Linked DNA regions of Coturnix japonica. The protein of the gene in region 1 interacts with the protein of each later gene in a pairwise test. Links are inferred from orthologs where the notes say so. Each region holds a gene or a part of one and is shown on either strand. Other genes may lie near its edges.

The links.
Region 2: the proteins of AQP2 (region 1) and ERG28 interact in binary tests that used the Homo sapiens proteins (3 or more experiments, as listed by UniProt). The link is inferred for Coturnix japonica from reciprocal best matches to the Homo sapiens genes AQP2 and ERG28.

The regions. Positions count from the first base shown.
Region 1 is NC_029544.1:1,313,885-1,318,165, forward strand, and holds the start of AQP2 (aquaporin-2), read left to right. Parts: upstream 1-1,443; 5' UTR 1,444-1,615; coding exon 1,616-1,981; intron 1,982-2,773; coding exon 2,774-2,938; intron 2,939-3,733; coding exon 3,734-3,814; intron 3,815-4,281. UniProt on the Homo sapiens protein: Forms a water-specific channel that provides the plasma membranes of renal collecting duct with high permeability to water, thereby permitting water to move in the direction of an osmotic gradient. Plays an essential role in renal water homeostasis.
Region 2 is NC_029520.1:34,764,180-34,768,342, reverse strand, and holds ERG28 (probable ergosterol biosynthetic protein 28), read left to right. Parts: upstream 1-1,419; 5' UTR 1,420-1,497; coding exon 1,498-1,630; intron 1,631-1,687; exon of another isoform or gene 1,688-1,709; coding exon 1,710-1,800; intron 1,801-2,288; coding exon 2,289-2,407; intron 2,408-2,559; coding exon 2,560-2,639; 3' UTR 2,640-2,658; intron 2,659-2,793; exon of another isoform or gene 2,794-3,076; intron 3,077-3,158; 3' UTR 3,159-3,633; downstream 3,634-4,163. Other genes in the region: tubulin polyglutamylase TTLL5, read right to left, coding at 629-717.

The DNA.
Region 1 (4,281 bases):
TCCTGAAAGCCAGGGGAGCAGAGATATCTGAGCCATCTAAGTCACTTGAGAAGTACACTGTTGTGCAAGTGCATTTGCACTTGCAAAGTGTGCTTCAAAAACGTGTTCCTGGGCCATGCTCTGCCATCAGGAGGAGGCACAGTGCAACCCCAAAGCACCAGATAGAAATCCCAAAGCACTGGGTAGACAACAGCTGCAACCAGCCTTCACATCACCAGCTGAAAGCAAAGAGCGTGAGGCTGTGTCAGGGTTTTAAGTTGCTCAGAGCTAATCCTGCCTGCTTCTCTTGCTTTTTTAATTAGTCTTCATTAAGCAGGGACACATCACGCCTTGCTTGCCGTGAATAACTATTAATCAAACAGGGTATCAGCTCCAGGTAATTGCCATATTAGTTATCTGACATTCCCTATGCCACTGGCAGCCTGCACCTGTAATCAAGCCCTGACGTAATGCATTTCTGAGCAATGCTAAGCTTGCAAATCCATTGCAGGCAGAGAGCAGCAGGAGCCTGCAGCCAGGATGTGGCCGCATTTCTGTGCCTTATCAGCACCCCAAACACAGGCAGCCTCACAGTCTGCTGCATGAGATCTGCTTCACTGCTGGAAAACCAGAGCCTGGGGCCAAAGTCACATCTTGGCATTGCCAAGGAAGTCAAACAGGAGTTTTCAGAGGAAGGGGACGAATCCATGTCTCTCATCCTCACCCTGGACTTGTTTTCCCTACAGTTTCTCCTTTGATAAGGGCAATGTTCACATCAGCATCTTTATATGTAAAGAGAGGGCCAGTATTGTTACCCACCTTCTGCGGAGGAAGGAGCAATGCAATCTGAGCAATATGGAATAATCTTTTATGCCAGCTCTTCACATCCATTCAGTCGCACTCACACAGTTCCTCTGGAGGGGAAATGTTTGGCTCCTGCAGCGGAAGCCTTTGTTGGAGCCAAATAGGAGATGAAATGATCCTCTCATCTCCAGCTCTGCCCTGGGGGAGCACTTCTCCCAGGATGGCTCAAGAGTCTGTTAATGAGAGGAAGAAAAAGGGGGGAAAAAAGTCCATTTTTGCTGCAAACCAACCACTCCTTATTGCATAGGGAGCAGAAGGCCTTAAAGACGTGGCCAGTGGACGGTGTGTCCTAAGCAATGGAAGGGAAGAAGAACTGACTTGTTATCCATTCTCTTCAGCAGGACCCATGGGGTTTATCGCTCCACCTTAGCACTACGGCTTCCTTATTCACTTTCTCTTCTCCCCATGCTGCAGGTGATGGGGAGACAGAAGCAAGGAGCACTTCCAAAGCCCCCATAAGAAAGCACTGGGAAGAGGAAGCAGCATTTCCTGGCATTGCTCAAGGCTGATTTATGCCCTCTGAAGGATGGCAAGCACTGCATTCCCTAGCTTTAATAGCAGGGGCAGGCTCTGAAGTTCCCTCAGCTGGAACATACATGAAGGAAAGCATTGGGTTTCCCAGGACCACAACCCCACCTCCTTCAGCAGGCAATCCTCCTTCATCCCATACCCTTATATATAGGGCTTGTACCCCCATCATCCTCTCTGGATCCAGCAGTGCTACATCCATTGCCTGAAGCCCTTGCAGGCAGGGCCAGTCCTTGCAGCCTCCATGATGTGGGAGCTCCGCTCTGTCGCCTTCACCCGGGCTGTCCTGGCAGAATTTCTGGCCACCCTGGTCTTCATCCTCTTCGGCCTGGGCTCTGCTCTGAACTGGCCTTCAGCTTCTGCCCCGAGCATCCTTCAGATTGCATTGGCTTTTGGCTTGGCTATCGGCACGCTGGTCCAAGCTCTGGGGCACATCAGCGGAGCTCACATCAACCCAGCAGTGACAGTAGCTTGCCTTATTGGTTCCCACGTCTCCTTCCTGCGTGCAGTCTTCTATGTGGTGGCCCAGCTCCTGGGGGCTGTGGCAGGGGCTGCCATCCTACACGAGATCACCCCAGCCGACTCGAGGGAAGGCTTGGCCATCAACAAGGTGAGGCTGCAGCTCGTGGTGGGTGTGAAAAGGAGCTGAGAGGTTTGGGATGGAGCTGGAGGAAGGCTGAGGGATGTGTAGAAGGGCTTTGGGGTCAGCAAGGACATCTGTTAAACATTGGGTTGGCATGGTCAGATGTAGCATGGGTTCTTCCAGCAGCAGGGATGAACACGGGGCTCCTGTGCTTTTAGGGACTGAAAACAGAGGTGATCCAGCTGGATGGATAGACACCTAGATAGGAGACAAACCCTCATCAAATCCCCTTCTCAAACCACACATGCAATAAAAAGAAACTGAAGGAGAAAGACAGCATTCACTGTAACTCCCTTCTCCATGGGTAGGAGCAGCTGTACTGCTGCAGAGATGCCCACAGCAGCAGCAGCATCACCCAGAACTGGTGGAGAGGAGGAAGGCAGCATGTTTTAGGAGGCAGCACGGGGAAATCCCTTCCTTTGCAGAAGCAGCTGGTACTGCCAGACCCAGATTTACTGCCAGAGAGATTAAAAGGGTTGGAAAGGATCTGAGGATTAGTCTGAACAAGACTATTTATATTGATAATAGCTGAGGTTTAATGAACCCAACAAAGCAATAAGAGTTCTAAGAGATTTTCCAAATGCTGTTTTCAAACACAAAGCACCTGAAAGGAGAGATTTTGACAGAAGAGACATTCCATTTTTCCTGGGAAAATTCCAAAAATCTCACCCATTTCCTCTTCATTTCTGGGTTTCCCATCTAAATCTGCATTCCCAGCACTGAATTTGCCCATCCCTGAGATGCCTTTTCCCCTTTCAGCTGCACAATGAGACGACGACAGGGCAGGCGGTGACTGTCGAGCTCTTCCTCACCTTCCAGCTCGTCCTCTGCATCTTTGCTTCCACTGATGAACGCCGGGAGGACAACGTGGGGTCTCCTGCTCTGTCCATTGGCCTTTCTGTTGCCGTTGGACATCTCCTTGGGGTGAGTGGAATGGCTTAAATAGCAGTGCTTGGTTGGAATGTCTTTGTGTTTCTGCCAAAAGGTCTGTAATTCATGGGGGGGGGGGGTTGTAATGGTGCAATACTTGTGGTTTTGAAGTGGGTGCAGCAGGAAGATCCCACCAAAGCCACAGCACAATCACAGCCTGAGCTGAGCTGCTATTGGTTGCCAAAAAATCCATAACCTGTTGGATCTGCTGTTCATCAAGTCCCATTGAGAGCTACCAGGGATCCAAGGGGTCTTCTACCCTGGAGCAAGCATGTTAGCAACGGAGATTCTCAAGACCATGATAAACTGGGAGTTACATGGGATGGACAGCCAGGGAGATCCCTCATTGCTAACTTTTGCAGGCAAAAAAAACCACATTATTCCCCAACACTCCCAACCTCTCAGGATTAGAACAGCAATGTTTGCATCACTTCTTCCATCCTTAATGATATGCAAGCTTGTGTGGCTTGCTATGGGATTACTTTCCTTCAATCCTCTGTGGCAAGGAGTAGCAATGTGCTCCAGGAACAGGCACGGCAGAAACGTGCTCCCATTGCAGTATACATCACCCAACTTGCATCCGAGTTGCACCATGCAGACACATCTGCTTGCAGCAGAGATGCATGAACAGGACTCAGGTGTGTTGACTCAGGAGCTGGAAGCTGGTAGCATTTTGTTTCCTGGAATGGGGTATGCTGGGAGGATGAATCATGCTAATAACACACTGGGGTATATTCAATTGTGGTAAAAGAGCTTAATGTTAACACTAAGTGTGGTGTTTCTCTGCAGATCCGTTACACTGGTTGCTCCATGAACCCAGCCAGATCCTTTGCCCCAGCTGTAATTGTTGGAGACTTCAGTGATCATTGGGTAAGAATTGTTGTCTTGGTGTTGGGTCAGTGGGATGAGCCCCCCAGGATATCAGTATTCTTACAATAACAAAAAACCAACCAGGTCCAGCATCTTATCACCAGCTCCTGTTTAGAGGAGAGATGTGGAGATTTGCAGAAAGAGGTGGGGCTGCTGGGTGCTTAATTAGCTTATCTAAGCAGGGTGAGTTGCAACAGGAAAAGGGTGTGTGGTTTGTTGACCATGACTTAGTATAAGAGGTAAAACCAATGGAGAATGAAGCTGTTCTCGCCATCGTGGAGACCCTTCCTGGTTCCGGTTGGATCCAGGCATGAATTTTCCATCAGCTCTTTTAGGGACACTCCCAGGCACTGCCAGCTCAGTGCTGGAGCTGTGGATGTGCTCAGAGGTGTCCAAGCTGGGAGCCTCTTCCTCTCCATAGGAATGCATAAATGGGTAGGATGACATCCCAAACCAATATTGTGCTC
Region 2 (4,163 bases), on another chromosome or scaffold:
GTTAGTTACTCTAACTGGAAGGGACCCAGGAGGATTCCAAAACTTACACTGCAGGACAGAACCTTATGTAAGCAGGAAATGAGCTGAGGCAGCAGAAGGGGACTTTATGTTAAGCCTGCCCTGGGGATTTGCAGTAAGGCTACCAGGGCTCAGGCAATCCTCCAGGTGACAGTCATTCATTCCCAGAGTGACACTTGGTCACTTCATGCAGACACATTCAAGCCATAGGCAGTTCTTGAGCTTTTCATCCATGAGGGTCTGGGAGCTCCAAGCCAACTACTCAGTACAAAGTGGTATTTCTCTCCAAGGGCACTAAGGTGCTGCTGTTCGCAGCTGGACACCTGGTCACAAAATGCACTGAGAAGAAAACCAACAAGACATACTAAAGTAGGCACAAGTATTACAGCTCTCACAAGATGCTTTGTGACAACAGCACATAATGTGGTGCTCCAGTCCGCTGTGAAGCACATCTCCCTTCTCTTCAGGGAATTAAAACTAAGCAAACAAAGAAGGACATGAATTCCCATCGTTTTCTTACGTATCACCAAGGAACCAACGAGCTTCTCCACAGGGAGGACCCGGGGAAGGAACACAGCAAGAGTTAAGAGGGAGTTTATTCCCCACTTACTGCAGCTCGTCTCCAGGGTCTTCCTCCTCCTCCTCCTCCTCCGAGGACGAGCCGCTTTCCTCCAGCCCCCGAGCCATGCCCGCCGGCATTTCCTCCGGGCGCTCTCATGCAGCCGGCTCGGCGGCCTCACCGATCCCTACTGCGGGCCCGAGGGATCTGACAGCAGCTCTTACCTGCAACAGGAATTAACACCCTGAGCGCGCAGCCGGGCCGGCCACTGAGGGCAGCACAGCTCCAGCCGGGCCGCACTGCCCACCCCCGGCCTCACCCCGCGCTGCCCCAGCGGCACGCCCCGCTCGCTGCACGCCTTCCTTCCTTCCTTCCCTCCTTCCTTCCTTCCTTATTTCTTTCTTTCCTCCCTTCCCCCGCTCCAACGGCCCCCCATGTTGGGAGCGGCCCCCGGGCCGGCCACGCCTGTCGGTGCGGTCGTTCCCCGGCCTACCCGCGGCCTCAGAAGAGGCGCCCCGAGAGGCGCCGCTGTACCCTCGCGCGGCGATAGCGGCTCGGTGCGCCCCGTACCCGCTCCGTCATAGCCCCATGGCCGCGGCCCGTCCCGGTGGCCACTCCCGCCGCTTCCCCGTTACTACAACAACCGGCGGCGCCCGGCCCCGCCCTCACTGCGCGTGCGCCCCCGGGCCGGTCCGTCCCGCTGCAGCGCGCACGCGCGGCGCCTCCAGCTCCCCGGCGCGGGGGCGGGATCGGGCCGTGTCGGCGCGGCCTCCCATTGGCGGAGGCGGCCCCGGCGGCCGCGTGGCGCGCCTGTGGAGCGGCCCGGCCGCGGCCAATGGGAGCGCGGGAGGGCGGCGCGGGTTGGCAGCCCCGGTGCGGGATCGCGGTGCGGGATCGCGGTGCGGGGCCGTGGCGGCACGATGAGCCGGTTCCTGAACGTGCTGCGCAGCTGGCTCGTCATGGTGTCCGTCATCGCCGCCGGGAACACGCTGCAGAGCTTCCGCGACCACGGCTTCCTCTCGGAGAAGCTCTACACCGGCAGCCCGGCTCTCGGTAAGGGCTCGGCCCGCGGGAGCCCTTCCCCAGCGGCCCACGGGAGCGGTTCCTCACCGCGTTCTTTCCCTCCGTGCAGTGAACGGGCTGCAGGCCAGGACGTTCGGCATCTGGACGCTGCTGTCCTCCGTCATCCGCTGCCTGTGCGCCATCGACATCCGCAACCAAACGTACGGGGGCGGCAACGGGAGCGGGCGGGGGAGCGCTGGGTACAGGAGCGCTGGGTACAGGATCGCTGGGTGCCGCTCCGTGCTGTGGCCCTGGTAACGGCAGCGGCAATGACGTCGTTGTTTCTTGGGTCTCTCTGTGTTGCCCTCGAACCCGGTCCCTTCCCGCAGGTGCAGCTCATAGGGGATAAAGGAGCGACGGTGGGATGTGCCGGGTGATGCGCCCTTAGTCAGTCCGGTCTTGTCGACCCGTTCCTCGGCGCAGCCAGTTCTCACCCTGTTTCATGTGCCCCCCTGTTTCCTATAGCAGCAGCGCCCTGCCCTCGCTCTGCCCCTTCACTTCCAGGCAGATAACACCAGTGACCCTGCCCCACTGAACACGGCCATAGCCCAGTGACCTTTAGTACCCGTGCTCCACAGCAGTGTGTGGCTTTGCTGCCTGCCATGCTGGTGCTGCGAGTGTGCTAACCTGCTTCTTTCTGCTCCTACAGCCTCTACTACATCACGCTCTTCACCTTCTTCTTGGCCCTTGTTCACTTCCTCTCTGAAGTCTTCATTTACCACACTGCAGCCTTGACGATTGGAGTTATGGCACCACTCATGGTAGCAAGTAAGCTGAGCTCTACGTCCTGCCTCCCACCCCCAACCTCTCATGGAGCTCTCAGCTCCCTCAGAACTATCTGTGGGGCAAGGAGGGGGTGTTCAGAACGTCCCATCTGAGCAGCCTTTTTTAATACAACTCATGCTTTATCTCCGTCACAGGTTTCTCTATCCTGGGGATGCTGATCGGGCTACAGTACCTGGAGGTAGAAGCACTGTCAGAAAATAAGAAGAAAAACTGAGGCTGAGCGCACTGTAAAGGTCAGCATCATCTCCTGTTCTCACTGCCAGACTTCCACTAAAGCTCTGAGCTTCTCCAGGATGCCAGCCCCAGTGGCAGATTGATGTTGGACTCTGTTGATCATCCTTCATTACTGAGTGTTTTATCTTGTCCAGACAGCATTTCAGCTGACTGGTATCAAAGACGAGCCCCCACAGGAGCCCGTCCAAGCTTGCTTGGTGACTACCTCCCTGCAGGAGGGCAGGGAGCACCTCAGGCATACCCATGAAAATGCCCAGGTCTGCCCTTGGTGCACCTGTAGGGAGGAGGTGCAGAGCTGCCCAGGATACACTGAACACTTTGGATGGGAAAGAGAAGTGTGTGCTGCTGTGGTCCAACCGTGTAACATGCATGTGTGTGTTCTGCAGGGGCCATTTCTAATAAATGACAGAAAACTGACAGATGCAATGTCTTAGTGCTATACAACAGCGGGTAAATGCTCTTCACCTTTGGAACAAGTGGCTTTTACTGTATGTTGTAGGACCTTATCCTGCTTCACAGCACTGAGTCCCTTCCACCAGAGCTCCAGGTCTGACTGAACACATCACACACACTCCAGGAGAGCTGTTGCAGCTCTCACTGCCGTAGCATTCTAGTGGCAACAAACTGCGTGCATCAGGAGCAAGGATGGAGCTTCCTTTGCAATGAGCTATAACTGTAACAATGAGCAAATGGGAACAGGTTGCTCAGTGCTAGATGAAAGAACATCCAGGGCTGTGAGGAAGAAGGGGGAAAAATAAAAGGAAGAAAACAATGTAACAGTAGCAGTGGGCAGAGAAACTGTTTTTCTGTCCTGCATTTCAGGCTATTAAAAAAGCCACACCAAGACCTATAGTATAAAAATATCATCTTTCATTGTACACCTGCAAAGTTTTTATTTCATATAAAAATTATATTTAAAAGCCATTTTAGACCACATCCTCAATCCCAAACTATCAAAAAAAAAAAAAAAAAAAGGAATTTAACATAATTTTATCCAGTCTGCATTTTTCCAGTAGGGTTTGTGTATAACTGTATGATATTGGTATAAGGACACTTGATGTCTCCACCAAGGGATGGATGCTGGAAAGGAAGGAAAAGGGTTCTGAGGGTCTATATTTGTGACTGGGAGATAAGCACCAGCATATGAGACAGAACTGTGTGTAAGAAGGCTTCTATGACAAAGTGAAAGCCTCCATGCTAGAGAAAATCATCTGAAAACACCTCACCATTGCATTGCAGGGCAACATTGCCCTGACGGGTCATCTGATATTCCACAAAGGCTTTTGTGCAGTGTTAAAAGTTGCAAAAGGCACTTCATCATTAAGGAGGAATATAGGATCCTCAGCCATGAGAGCTTGTGCTTTGAGTCACTCCTGCTGCTAACCCAGTACTGAGCTGGGCTCAGGCTGTAGCCACAGCACAAACCCTTGCCTCTAGTAGGAGGTCTATTGGTCTCTCTCAATTATTCCTAGTATATAGGAATGTTAGAGCAATCCAAGTGAAT